2 linked regions of the Astyanax mexicanus genome follow. The protein of the gene in region 2 binds, or shares a complex with, the protein of the main gene of each other region. Links are inferred from orthologs where the notes say so. Each region holds a gene or a part of one and is shown on either strand. Other genes may lie near its edges.

Region 1 (7,738 bases), on a different chromosome or scaffold from region 2:
AACTGAATTACTGATATATATATATATATTTATATATATATATATAGAGAGAGAGAGAGAGATGGGGAGAGAGAGAGCTTTTTTTATAAATTGTTTGTTTGATCTTCTGACTAGTTTATAAAAATATATGAAAAATATAGTTATAGCTCCTGCTTGATGTATATGTTGTATCATGTTGGATACATTCAGTGGACAAATCTGCCTGTAATTTTACAGATAAACTACAGATAAAATCATAATCATATGCAGAATACCTGTATTTAATTTTATTTTGTTATTTATGTAATAATTGTAATTTATTTAATGTATTGTACATTGTTATGTATTAATTATGTAATAATTACAAGTATTTATAATTGTTTTCTTCATTATTAATGATTGTTTATTTATATCAAACTCACTCATGCATCACATAAAATACACTTGCTTTTAAAGTCTAACACATAGATGATTATGTTTCAATTCTACTTTAATTCTACCAATAAAGTGCGGAGCTACTTTGACATGATAATGGTGTAAAAGTAGTGATTTCTTTGCGTGGACAGCACTATGCCCCTATCACTAGCATTGTAAGCCTGTTCGAATCATTGGCTAAAAGCTCTGTATTTCAATATGCTGGCAGTGAATGGAGGTAAACAAAATGTTTACTCATTATCATGTTTCAGTACACCCCAAGTCCATTTCACACCAGATTTCTCCTTTAAATTGGGTTCAGGCTCAAACAAAACATACACGGGCTCAGGTAGGGTCGGCCCAATCTAAGCTTTGGTTTGGTAATGTTGAGCAATGTAGCCTGAGACCAGGTCAGCCTACAGGGCTGTACAGAAATCCCAATCCTGTTTCAGTGGTACTGAGGAACAAATTACTGCACTATTTTACTTCCCTGCTAAAAAAAAGTCAGAATAACATCAGCTTCATCTACCTGGTTTTATTTAAGCTGGTCCTTAATGGTCAAGGTTTCAAGGTTCAAAAGCTGCTCACCCAGAGCAAAACATACCCTTACACTGGAAATTGAGCAAGCTGAACAGCTTAGCTCTTCAACAGAACATCATATGATTTTATTTAGTTGATGGTAAGCTTAGTGTGAATGAGGTGGTTGACCAAATTGACAATGCTGCTTATTATGATGGAGAAGCATGGTAAACAGCTGCTTCTCAAAGTAAACTTGCTTATATCACTTAACTACACTAAGGAAACGTGTTGAATTGGGCAGCTGTAAGATACTGCAGTCCAGTAAGACTATGTTGTTAAGATTGCTAAGAGGGAGTGGGTCAAATACTGATATTGCTTTCAATTGCATTTTGTTTTCAAATGTTTTTTATTTTGTAGAATTTTTCTAATGCCAATATAAACTAATCATAAATGCATCAATAGATCAATGTTGCCGTAAAAAATATCCACTATTTGACCAGCCACTATTCAGTCCTTCTGGTGTGCCCGACGGGCCATAGCTATGTGTGATTGATTGGATTGTTGATCTTTTTATTCTTTTACAATAAAGAATTCCCACCAAGATGGAAAGCACAGAATGTCTTTCTCTCAGTGGCTGCATGCACATGCAGGTACATATAGAACAGTTGTGGGGATGAGGAGGCAGGGCTTAAAGAGGTGTGTTTAAACCTGAAAAAACCCATACACAGACTTTAAAAGGAAATGCTGACATAAAATCAATGTGACATCCTGGCCGGACGCATGTTTAGATCCAAGAAGGAGGACTTATGGTCACCCTAATTTAAAACAATGACAAAACAGCAGCACTAGGCTGGACCACCTGCTTTGACCCCTGGCCCTGACCTTTTTCTGACCCCAGTGAGAGTCAGGAAAAGAAAGAAGGGGGGAGGGGTGTCCCAGTGTCTCTGGGAAGGGGCTTCCCCCGTCCCGCATGCTGGCACCAGGCTGGGAGGTGATGCTGAAGCTCCAAAAGAGCCCCGACTGCCGTGCCTGCTGCCTCTGTTGCCATGGAAACCGGCAGCCTGGAGATGCTGAGAGAATCAGCTGCGTAGACGGAGAGCCAGCCGGTTAGTTAACAGGGCTGATAGAAAGAACCACACCACATTAATGCAGTGTGTGTGTATTCGTGTGTTTGTGTGTGTGTGTGTGTTTGAGAAAGCGAGAGAGAGAGAGCACGCGAGAGAGAGAGACAGAGAGAGAGAGAGAGAGAGAGAGAGAGAGAGAGAGAGACGAAAAAGGGGCACAATGCTGTTTCCTTTCAAACAAATCCTAAAAAAGACACCAAATGAGCAATATCTGACCTAAACACACACACGCGCGCACACACACATACCTCTGTCCTCGCACGGCCCCTCACGTGCATCTTCAGATCCCCCCCCCTCCTCCTTCCTCCCCCATTTCTTGTGCCTGGGGATGACATCATTCTCTAAAACCACATTACGTCATCCATTTTCAGGACGCTTCTCGCGCTACCCCACCCTATTGCACCCCTTTCTACACACACGCGCGCAGGCGCGCGCGCACCCGTACTTATTCACTCTCGCTTTTCACTTCCATTGGCTCGTTATCGGCACGCTGTCCCCGCCTCTTCTTCGCTCCTCATTGGCTCAGAGGTCCCCTGTGGCTCATGCTGATTGGCTCGTTCCTGTCTGCTGCTCGCGGGCCGTTTGGTTTCCAATGACGTCACGTAGTGAGATTCCCATTATCAATATGCAGAAAATAGAAAAAAATGCAGAAAATAGATTTGCAATGAAAAATAGTGTGTGTGTTTGGGGGGGGCGAACACACAAACACATAAAATACTGAAGAGGAAACCGTACATGACACATTAAACACACATATTAAGCACAAATATTAAATTATTATAAATACAATAATTAAATAATTATTTATTATTGAATTATAATAATTTGGACATTATTATAAATTATATTATATGAATATTATATTCATTAGATCTTTTTACTTTGTAAATTAAATTACAAAAATAATTTTGGCTTAAAATGAATTAAAAGTGTGTGTGTGTGTGTGTGTGTGTGGGCACATGTGTGTGTATGTATGTATACTAAGTGTGTCGTGTGCATGTGTAAACGGTTTATGTATATGAATAATGTGTGTTTTTTAAGAAAGTTGAAGTGTGTATATGCAGTTTAAGTGTGTTTTTGTGCCTTTATGAACATTGTATACAATGTTTGTGTAGGGAGGGGGTGAGATGTGTGTATGTGTAATAATAATGGCAGGTATCTGGGAGCACATCTGAATTTTAATCTGAAAGTATCTCAGACTGTCTTCATTGACGTTACAGCTCAAAAGCAGAGTGAATTTTCCCCCTGGAAAACCCAATTTGTTTAATGTAACGTTTACACAGCAAAAGTTCAGTTCATGAGCAAGTTCAAGTTTCACAACAATTCAGCTGCTCCATGTAACGAACAGAAAAGGTGTGATACAGCTTGTGCAGATGGTCTATTCAGTTTGTATCTGTTTTAAATGATACAGCAGAATACTGTAAAAACTCATTTCTGGGGGACAAATGTGCCAATATTAGCACAAGGAAAACGAACTGTTGAAATTAGAAACAGGAGGTGGAAAGAGAGTTTGGATAAAAAAATAGGCGGAGGAGAAGCTACACATCATAATTTAACCAGTCTAGAACGGTTGTGGCCTTACTTTCAAGAGACATTGTGCTGTAATTGCTGTATCTTAAAATAACTCAAAATACAAATTTATAGCTATGCTATATGAAACCCGGGGTGCCCACTTCAATTGGAAAGTGGATTGGTTTAAAAGTTACATTAGTTGCTTATATATATGTTTTGCAATGGTGGTAAAACTGTGGTAAAACTGTGAAAATCAAATAATAGCAAACATTTTACAGCATCACAGTATGTGATATTTATCGTTATTAATTAAAACTAATAAACACTTAAAGGGATAAAAAAACAGAGTTTCTTTAGTTGAACAAAAGCTTTGGTTTAATTGATTGAAAAGTGTGTAAAATGTCTCCCTTTTCATTATGGATACATTTTCTGATTTATAAATTTATTTAATTATTTAGACTATTTGCATATATCAAAGACACACATAAGGATAGTTCTGGAGAAGTTTTAACAAACACAGTGAAGTAAAACACTACTTTTTGTATGAATGTTATTTAGGCTCAGATAAGGAGCTTTAAATAAGCTATAATTTTTGTAAAGGTTTTTTTATACAAGATGTGTGCAGGCCGTGTATGTAGTTTGTGCCTGCGCTTGTGCGTGCGCGCTCCCGCGAGGTGGCGCGCATGAGCGTGCTCGGGCTCCGGTTGTCCGTGGTAACGGCGCTGATGTTGTTTATAGATGTGTATGAAGGTGGGGGGATGCAGGTTCAACCACACACACACACACACACACACACACACACGCACACACACATACGCACACAAACACACACACACATACACAAACACACTCTCTCTCTCTCTCTCTCTCTCTCTCTCTCTCTCTCTCTCTCTCGTGCACACACACACCTGTCATAACCATGGGCAATGAGGTGTGTGTTAAAGGTGATGGCTGAGGTTTCTTTTATGTAAGTTACTAGACTGGGTGCGTATATATTCATATGTATGTATATATGTATGTATATATGTATTAATATATGTATATATTTATGCATATATGTATATACGTTTATGTATGTAAGTGCACGCGCGCGCGCGTGTGTAGTCTGCGTGTGCGCGCATGCGCGTTCCTATAGAAGAGGCAGGGTTTCTTTAAGACCGCGCGCGCACCTTTTTATTGCATGGGGAGAGAGGGCGAGAGAGAGGGGTAGAGAGAGGTTGAGTGTGTGAAGTGTAGAGCTGAGAGAGCGAGAGAGAGAGAGGAGAGAACGACAAACCGGAGGAGAATAACGACGAACTGGTTCGTCGCTCCGGTTTTCACGATGACCTGCAGAGATTCTGGACCGTGAGCGGGGTGAGCGCGTGCGTGCTGTATTTTGCAGCTTTTTTTGCAGCGTGTGCGTGCGTGCGTTTGTCGCCCAGCTGTGAGGCTGTATGTATGGATGGATGGGATGGATGGATGGATGGATGGATGGATGGGAGGAAGGAGTGGGGGTGGGGGGTATATATAGCTAAGGAGTGGGGGAAAAGGGTCTGAATGGGGCTCGTGCATGGATATTCATCGATACAGTAGCTGAAATTGGCATTATATCTTTATTATATATATTGTTTTGCAATGCATGTGCACTGGCTTCGTTGATTCTGCGCGAACACGAGCACGTCATACACACACGTATATATACATAGTGTTTATAACATTGCACATTATGTCAGCTTTCCAATTGCATTGGAAACATGATGCTGATGCTCATTATTGCACAAACACAAACCAAACACCCATCTGTGAATGTTTTAATCATATATATATATATATATATATATATATATATATATATATATATATATATATATATATATATATATATATATATATGTAATGCTTCCCAATCCCCTCCCTGTCTTCAGTTTTCAGCCATAGCTCTCCACACACCACACACACACACACACACAACACATACACTCTCACACATCATCATACAAACATACACACTCAGCCTCACCGTGCCTTTCTCTCTCCTGCGCCTCCATTATTATTAGCCTCATGACTAACAGCTCAGCTCTGCACAGGAGAGAGCAGCTACAGCCTTACATCACACAAATCACTCACATATCTGCCTGACAGGCCCTTTTTCTACCGAGAAAATGCGTCTGCTATGTAGCTGCAAGTGTTTGCGTGTGTTTTCCTGTGAGTCCGTGTGTTTATATGTTTATATGAGATGAGAATAAAACAAATGGAGCCAAAAAAATAAGAAATAAACTCCAGAGCTGCATGTGTCTATACAGACAGCTGGCAGTAAAAAGGCATTTTTCCAGTAATGGGTTTATGTTGTCTTATTTTGTTTTCTCCTTCTATCTCGATCCTGGTGTAGATATATAGGCTACATATGGTGTTGCATGGTTTGTGGCCTACCGAGACTAGCTTTAAGCCTCAGCCCTAGCTAATGAGTCTGGCTAATCTAGCTAACCTAGCTGTGGGAAGGCACTGCCAGCATTTTTCCAAGCACTGCTAGTTTTCAGCGTGTGTCTTCAGTGTGTCTGTGCCGTCTGATACTTTATGTTAAGATTTTGAGCTTTATTAGGTCAAACAGATAATTCTAATGCTAATTCAACATAAATGAGTGAAAACAAAGAGCCACAAATGAGAAGTAAACAGATGAATGATAAAATAGATCTGCTAATGTTGTATATTGTTAATGTTCATTCATTGTTAGCAACATTGGCCTGTTCAGTCAAGTTGTATCTTTCATTTTCTCACATTTAGATACATCATCCGAGCCTGCATTTTTATGTAGGGCTCACATGGGTGGAACGTGGGTTTCAGGTCAGTTTTAGGTGGGTATGGGCTCTCAGTGGGTTTATACCTGTGTTTTTACTGGGACCCAGTTGGGCTTTCCAAATGGGCACCCTTGTTACAGCCAACCTGTGTGAGCAAACCTCACATGGGTCCCATCTAGACCAACAGTTGTGTAGTGTACAATCTAGATGGGGCCCAAAGAGCCCATCACTGACATCCATATGTGATGTCAACATAGCCCCTTTGGACAGAACTTAATTGTTCCCATGCTGTAAGCCTTGATGAGTCAAATTTAACTAAATTTAAGTAATGTTTACTGAAAACTTGTGTTAGACTAAAAACTTTTAGTTATGTCTAAATTGTAAGTACATTTGATTACATTACATTTTTTTTACATTTATTTATCAATTGCTTTGCATAATAATTCTACTTTGAATGTTATGGTCAGGTGAATAAAATAGAAATAAATTGTATTTAGACTTCTCTCTGATTTAATTTAAGTAAAATACATGTTTAAAATACTAGTAGAAAATTAGATAGAAGATGATAGAAAATGATATAGAGAGAACAGTAGAACAGTACAGCCAACACAGAATCAGCAGCATGCTTGTTCTTACAGCCTACAACATAGGGGCGAAGCAGTTAATCATCATATATGATCTACAAGTTCACCAGAGGTAGCTCGGGGGACAGGGTGTAACTGTACACTGATGAGACACACCCAGTATGCAAATAGTTTGTGCTAAAAGCCAATGGAAAAGAAACTGCCAATGGCAATAGACTAAACTAAAAAGTTATTATAAGTTGATTAAACTCAAAGATCTCCACAAATGTTTACCTAATGTTTGGAAATATCCAATTTTGCATAAAACAGACAACATGCAGTTGGGCTTCCAGTTCAGACAGTTGGGCCTCCCATAGCTTCCAGAATGAAACATTTGTAAAGTACTCCTGTTGGCTTTTCTTATAATTCTTGAGCAGTATCTTGTCGTAAAACAGTAGTAATTGTCTGTAGTAATTAGGGGTGTCACGATTCTCTAAATCCTCGATTCGATTTCATTTTCGATTTGAGGGTCACGATTCGATTCGATTCTCGATTTTCTTGTTTTTTTTTCTTGTTATTATTTTATGCCTCATAAAATTTAAATAATATATTTATTATTATTATTATTATTATTATTATTATTATTATAAATATTATAAATATTATTATTATTATTTATTAAGATATATATGGTAATGCCATCTAGTGACTTTTTTTGGTAGCAACAGTGTGCACTATTAAAACAAGCAGTTTATCAGAGCTGTGTGTGGATGGCTGGTGAAACTGCTCATTACATGAAGCTGCAGTTCTTCATCCAACCACTAGCAGCAGCAGCACAAGCCCCGCTCTTTTC
Region 2 (7,641 bases):
TGGAATGTTACAGACCAACTTTCCAGGAACCTTTACAAGCCGTGCTATAAAATGTTTTCTGTAAAGTGGTTCTGTTTTAATTAGAGTACCCTCAAAAAAGTAACATATGAGTTTCACTGAACACATATGTTTGTGTGTATTAATGTATTTTATTCATCCTGCATCCCTTGCAGGCCTGAAGAAGCAGGCAAAGATAAAGATGCACCACGTCTATTGTCTGCAAGCTCTCCGGGAGACAGCGGATGGGTATCACTATAAAGGGATAACAAACACCAGGTGTGTTTACGAATCTATGGTAACATTAGGAGGGTGAATATCAGTTTTCTTAAGATGAAAAGACTGGGAGATAGGATAACACGCTGAGCGCTGTCATCCAGCAAGGCTGAACTGCCTGGCTTGACTCACTTTTCCCAGACTATGACGTAACAGAGTTCCCTTTTCCAGTAGTAACCACAAACACAGTCTCAGGAAGCTTTACAGCTGGCTGAGACACACAGGTCCAGCCCACACTGGCTGAACTAGTCTGTGTGCCAAGTGACAGCCTTTGAGGCTACCAGTGGCAGATCTGATTTTAAAATGAGATCTGTTCAGGCAGGCATTAACACTCCCATGCCATCCATGACTTGCATTTAAACATGTTAAGCATTAAATAACCGAATCAAACTGACCACATTTAAGTCTGAGAAGAAATTTAATTATTTACATTAGGTACAATAATGTACGTACATTCGGTACAGACATTTTGTATAATCTGTTTGTTTTTAGCTTCTTGTAAAATCAAGTGTCTTAAAAAGACATTTTGCATTAAGAAGAGTTATTGCTGCTTTTGTTGGAGCATCTATTTCTAATGCCTAGCAAAGGCCTTCTACTAAATTCTGGAGCATTGCTAGAGCATGACAAGAGCATTAGTGAGGTCAGTGTGTTAGGAGGATGATCACCTCTTCACCTCTTATTCTCAACTCCCCAACTCTTCCCAAAAGCACCAACCTTCCAGAGAACACAGTTGCACCACTCCACAGCTCAATGCTGGGGGCTTTACTGCCCTCTGTGCCATGCCTGGCATTAGGCACAGTGCCAATAGGTTCATGTTTATTTATCTGCTCCAGAGAGTCCTGCACAAGCTATGTGCATGCACTTGGACATATTTCCCAGCAACTGATTTAAAATTATAGAGCTGGATTTCTGCATTAGTTATAGAAAGGGGTCCACAAACTTCCCAGACAGGGATTAATACTAGTCATAGATTTATACATAGTGTATTCAGTGCTCAAAACCACTAAAAACGTAGATTTGTATTCAACTTTTAGCAAATTTAGAACTGACAGTGGTTTGTGTGGTACAGTGGATAACACAACCACCTGCTGATGGTCTACCAAGTGGGAGGCTGGGGTTCAATAAGAGTCCTAACACTAAATTGGCCCAACTCTGTAATAGAAATAACCTTGTAAGCCACTCTGGAAAAGAGCATCAGACAAATGCCTTAAATGTAATCTAAATGTAAAAAGGGTGCACAACTTTTTTTTGACATATGGGGTTGGTTTCTTAGACAGGGATTAAGCCTAGTTGTAGACAAAATGTTTCCTTTAAATATATAGTATTTATTTGAAATGCTAAAATGCTATATAGTACAAGACTTGGCTAAAACTTAGTTTCCCCTGTCTGGGAAACTTGTCTCAACACATGTCCCATAAAGTGTTACAGTCCACATGGTCTGTTAGAGTAAAACCCAAACCCCCTCCACTGGCGTCCTATATTTTACACACACACATACACACACACACACACACACACACACACACACACACACACACTTTACACACTGCTGTTACTTCCTCATCATTAGCGAAGGCAGGGCACGTAGATTGTCTCTTAAACTCAGAAAAAGCACAGACTACTCTAGGCTTGATTCGCATGGCTCAGAAAAACGCCTGCCTGCTGCCTCCTCTTCTCTTTTGTTTTCTAGTAAACTACATTTGAATTAAATTAGACAGCTAGCTAACTAGCTAAGTTTGATGGGAACAGGAGTGTTTGGATGAGTGTAGCTGCTAGCTAGCTTTGCATAATCACTTCTTAGAGCCTTCTAGCACTTTAGCACTTCAGCACTTCATGACAGTACACTTGACAGTACATGGTGTGATTCAGTGAGTGCTTCTGTGATGTGACAGCAATGAGAGAAAACCTGCGGGACATGTAGCTCGTTTATAGTTAGTTATTCCGCCAGCTACAGCTTGAGTAACTTTAACCCAACTCAAAATACTCACAAATTTCTTCTTCTCATTTCCCTCGTCGTAGGTTTTCTTGGGTTTCTTCTCTTTGGTGCTTTTTGAAGAAGCACCAGAGGACGCTGAGTTCCCAGAGTTTGGAGGATCCATGGTGAATCTAATCCAAACTGATTGAAAACAATGAAGGCAGTATCCAGTTCTCCGGCGCTGTGGAGCTTTTTTTACACGCTTTTCTTGACGGTGAACTGTAGCTAACTAACAAAGCTGAGTTAGCTACTGTAACTCAGAAATTATCCTCTGCTTCCTCCAGACTGCTACAAAAAGTACGTTAGTTCGCTAAATAAATCCCCGCGGCCTGAAAGAAAGAGGCTGAGAACCCAGAGAGCCCTCAGTCACACAGGCAGTCCCCACATAAAGGAGGGAAAAGGGAGGGAGATTTGAATAGGAGCCCCCTCTTAAAAGCACCTAAATCTCTTCCTATCAGTGACTTACTACAAGTTTACTTCCACTAAAGTCCGTTTAAAGTGGAAATAACGCAAAAAACACGCACTTTAACCGTCTTATTAACGTGTTAACTCAAGTTTGGCTAACGTAACGTTGACTACTCGTGTGTACTTAGCTAACAACTACCGCCCTCAACCTTCTGCTAACCTTCAACAAACCCTCAAAAAACTTCACCACCCCCTCACAGAAACATCCAGCGCCGCGTGGTTTCCCTCGACGAACATCCCGACAAGCACATTTCCCAACTTTATTCCCATACTAGCTAAATTCTCCCAGCTCTTTCGCTCGTGTTTACTAAAGAACAACAGAAGCTCTCGCGCGGCTCCTCGTCGCTTCCTGCCTCGCTCTCAGGCACGCAGGTTAGCAGCGCGAGGGCGGGGTTACGCACGAGGGCCTCACCTGAGATAGCACTGCGCGTGCACTGTGCTTTTCACTTTTCTAAAAACAAAATAATACTACAAAATAAAAAAAAGAATATTTCAATGAATGCTCCATAAATAATTCAAAATAACACAGTTATTTACAGGCAGTCTGTAGCCTACATATATATTGCTCTTTAAACTGCCCACTATCTGAACTAAAGACTGTGAAGTGCCTAAAGTTTTGTTTCTAAATAAAATTATGAAGGGTTGATACATTTTTCACTTTTTTTTATTAAAATATGTTCACAACAGTTATTGTAGGCAAAAAAAATATATTGTGATTTTCTTTTCTGTTACCCAACAGCTCCACCATGTGTGAAGATTAGGAGCAGCATGTTCAATCTCAGCTATAAAGGCCGGGCTTTCATCACGCAAAAAAAGCCAACAAGTGTTAGACTGTAACACAAAGCATGGATTCTCAGATACCCAGATTACTTAAGTTTAAGGAGTACTACTGACAACATTTTGCCCAAATTCCAAATACAAATATTGTCATTTAGCGCATTTATGTGCAGAACATGATAAATGTCTAAAATAACAAAAAAAAAGATGCAGAGCTTCCAGACCTCAAATAAAGCAAAGAAAATAGTTCATATTCATAAAGTTGAAAGAGTTCAGAAATCAACATTTGGTGGAATAACCTTGGTTATTAATCACATTTTTTCATGCATATTGGCATGTTCTTCTCCACCAGTCTTACACACTGCTTTTGGATAACTTTATGCCATTCCTGGTGCAAAAAAAAGCAGTTCAGCGTTGTTTGATGGTTATGATGGTTTTCAATTAGGTAAAATCAAAGGAACTCATCATTTTTAGATTTCAAACTGTTCACTAGACATTTATTGCATTTATTTTCTTTAATCAATTCGGCTCTTTGGAATTTTATTCGTAAACCATATTTGTTTCTGCTCATTTTATCTTTTGTCTCTTTTTTTTGTCATCAATTTTATACTTATGTATACTCATTTATATTAATACAACTTAACTTGTAGATCCTCTTAAATCTTAAAATCAGCAGCAAAGCAAAAAAAAACTTATGATAGAAATTAGAAGAAACTGTGAAATCCATCTTGTTGAATACCCCAAACCATCGTACAGAACAATAAATCTCTACCCTATTACTTACATCTCCTGGATCTCTAAACACACAGTCCATTCCCCTTATAAAGGACTTGGTATTTACCTTATGAGCCTGAACAGATGTGCTAAAACAGAGGATGCTTAAAATGTGAAGCTTCCCAGAACTGGCATTTAAGAAAGTGGTTTACAGCCATTATATTATATTTGATTTGTTTTTAGTTTTTTTGTTTGTTTGTTTTTTACATTTTTGTTGATATTTACTTTTCCTGTAACTTATAAATGATGCATTATAACTCATGATGTGTTTATTATAGTAGTGTTGGAGACAATTATAGTTAATAATTTACACACTTTAAAAAAACAGAGGTATGAAAGGAGTATTTTTTTTTTTACTCAAAGGTACACTGTTCATAATTGTACCCTCAAATGTACAATATTGGTCTTTACAGGGTCAGATTTGTTCCCTCTGAAGTACAAAGTAATTTCTAACAGCAATAAGTACAAATTTGTACCATTTAACCAGTCAAAGGGTACATTCAGTATTCTGTACCACTGTACTAATAAACAATATATATTTTATTTGCACACTTTTTTATTTGAGAGCCAGACACTTTTGCATCATGAAGACACATATTTAGTTGATGATAATGTTTATAATCTTTATAATCTTTACTGGCATAAAAACATGGGTACAAAAAAGGACTTTCACTGGAAGGTACTTTTTTGTACCTCAATATAAGGTACAGCCCTGGCAACAAGCTTTGTACTCTTTTAAGTACAAATCTGTACTTACTTTTCTAAGTGTGCATACACTTACAAAAATAGGCTGCAAAATTCAACATATAACTCTGTTTCAAGCAGATATGTAAATGATTATAGGTCTGGCCTGATTAGACACTGGGTCTTGCCATAGGATAGCATTTTTTTCCCTCACTGCCCTATAAAATGCTCTCAGAGGCTACTTGGACTGCTACAGACTGGAAGCATGTCATCTTTTACAATGAATCTAGGTTCTGTTTGGGACACTAAAAGCTCAGTAATATGTGCAGGACAACTACATGTACATCTGTATAGCCTCTAATTGCAGGACATCCATCTGCCTTCTTTTATTTTATAGCATGATAATGCTTGCCCATACACAGCAAGGGGTTTCTAGCATTTCCCTTATCAACAGATTTATAGTTAATTCTTTTTTCATTTTTATCAAGAGTTTACAGGATCTACAGACCCAGCTGCAACAATCTGGGCAAATGTGCCACAGGAAGCTCAAGATGGTACTAGAAACTTCTTTTAATTGTACTGTTTCCCCACGCAATCCACTTTTGTTTTAATATTGCATGTATCATTATCATATTAACGTATATAAAGTTTCATACTACAGAAACTCATTAGTTTGTATTCTGATGCAGTAGATCCTGGATCTTTTTAAAAAGTATTCCTGGGAGCTTGAGAAGCTATCAGATGGTTGCGACTGCTCTACCTAGTTCTCAACATCCATACATGACACATCCATAAGCTTAAACCAAGTTGCCGTTACAAACTAAACATATAACCAGAATAATTTTCAGAAGCATAACTCAAATCATGTTCCTTTTGACTTCATTTCAAACTCTAAAGAACAGCAGGTGAAATCCTGCTGACGTCTGCCTTATGTTCACTTCATTTGGTCCAGGCTAGAATTAACATTCAACAGAAACCTAAGCCTGACAGAAAGAGATATCTCTGGCAAACCAGTCGTTTTTTTTACAGCTGAGAAACAGCCACTGTCACTCTGCTCATGCAAATTCAACACCATATTGTCCATAGCACTCTCTCCTTGTGAAAAAAAATGTGCTGACTCAACCCAGTTTTATTTTGGTTTCTTTCCAGTTGATGCGATTAAGTATTATCATTTCTTCTGCACTCATTTCCATTTCCATTTACACGCTTCCCTTCACCCCCCTCAATCCACCCACATCTGCGCACATGCGCAACAGTGTGGGCATGTTCTGTGATGCATTGGTGTGCCTCTGTGCACTCTTTTCTCTGCAGGCAGTAATGATACCGTAGCTGCATCACCAGGATTGAGCCTTCACGTTGGCTGATCTTTGGCAGGCGATTTAAAAATAGACCTATTACACACATGCACACACTTGTGTGGATACAAACACATACATGCATGTTTCGAATTCCTGTCTCTGAGGGGGGTTTTCATGTTTTATTTTGTCTCTTTTTTTCTTTTTGATCAAGACTTTGGGTGTTTCCATAAGAATACATAAAGGAGCTTCCCATCTGCCCTATTTACAGGGGTTGGACAATAAAACTGAAACACCTGTCACTTTAGTGTGGGAGGTTTCATGGTTAAATTGGAGAAGCCTGGTGGCCAATCTTCATTAATTGCACATTGCACCAGTAAGAGCAGAGTGTTAAGGTTCAATTAGCAGGATAAGAGCACAGTTTTGCTCAAAATATTGCAATGCACACAACATTATGGGTGACCAAGATAGCAAGTCTTTGTGATGTATCAAGTGCCACGGTATCCAGGGTTAATGTCAGCATACCACCAAGAAGAAGGACAAACCACATCCAACAGGATTAACTGTGAATGCAAAAGGATGCTGTCTGAAATTTCATTTCAGCTTCAGTTTCATTGTCCAACCCCTGTAGATAGTGTACCTCCTGGTGAGAGCTCATTGACTGCTATAGACATGGCTCTATGACATACTCAAAGACATTTTGCTCAGACTTTAAGCCTAACCTTAGGATTTAAAGGAAACCCTTTGCACTTAGGTACATTTTTCAATTTTGAAAAACTGCATATAAAAGTGGAGCCATGCCCCAAAGTTTGGACAAGCAGCCTTCTGACCTGAAGGTTGCTGGTTTGATTCCATAAACTGACAGAACATGACTATGAAGTGACCCTGAGCAAGGCAAACTAACCCCCCCATAGCACCACAACTAGGGATGCACCACGTCCTCTGGGTACAATGTGTGTGTATGTGTGGTCACCAGTGTGTTTGTGTGTGTGTGTATGTGCATCAATGTTGTTAAAGGTGGAAGTCGAATGCGTATGTGTGCCACACAAAAGGTGATTGAGTGATTCTTCTTCGTGCTTTTATATTCATTATTAAAAACGTGTGTTTTCCTTTTATAGGGACCCGTCGATTCTCACCATTATTTATCCTGGGGCTATTCGGTCCTCACAATGAGGCACACACACCCACACCCACAAATCCATACTCTATAGGCCACAGTAATGCTCTTAAGGAGAGCTGATCATTGATGCACTGCACGCTGCTGCTGATATAAGGCCAGTCAAAGGGCAGTCCGACATTTTTAATGAGGCCCATTATGAAGCCTATAGCCATTAAGCATGCTCCATTGCTCCCTTCCCCCCTGAAAGTTTAGTAGAAAATGCTAGTGAAATAAACGAC

The links.
Region 1: the proteins of protein diaphanous homolog 1 (region 2) and ppfia3 are in contact, whole or in part, in a crystal structure (PDB 4UWX), measured with the Mus musculus proteins. The link is inferred for Astyanax mexicanus from reciprocal best matches to the Homo sapiens genes DIAPH1 and PPFIA3. Residues at the interface, in NP_031884.1 of Mus musculus: Lys252, Ser255, Ala256, Ile259, Gln307, Asn310, Ala311, Thr314, Pro315, Ala316, Glu317, Arg322, Gln352, Cys354, Val355, Glu358, Gln359, Glu362; in NP_084017.2 of Mus musculus: Pro719, Arg720, Arg723, Leu724, Arg726, Met727, Ala728, Ala730, Leu731.

What each region holds. Positions count from the first base shown.
Region 1 is NC_064426.1:17,738,241-17,745,978, reverse strand, and holds the start of ppfia3 (liprin-alpha-3), read left to right. Parts: upstream 1-4,734; 5' UTR 4,735-4,909; intron 4,910-7,738. UniProt on the Homo sapiens protein: May regulate the disassembly of focal adhesions. May localize receptor-like tyrosine phosphatases type 2A at specific sites on the plasma membrane, possibly regulating their interaction with the extracellular environment and their association with substrates.
Region 2 is NC_064409.1:66,225,425-66,233,065, reverse strand, and holds the start of protein diaphanous homolog 1, read right to left. Parts: upstream 3,076-7,641; 5' UTR 2,373-3,075; coding exon 2,262-2,372; intron 1-2,261. UniProt on the Homo sapiens protein: Actin nucleation and elongation factor required for the assembly of F-actin structures, such as actin cables and stress fibers. Binds to the barbed end of the actin filament and slows down actin polymerization and depolymerization.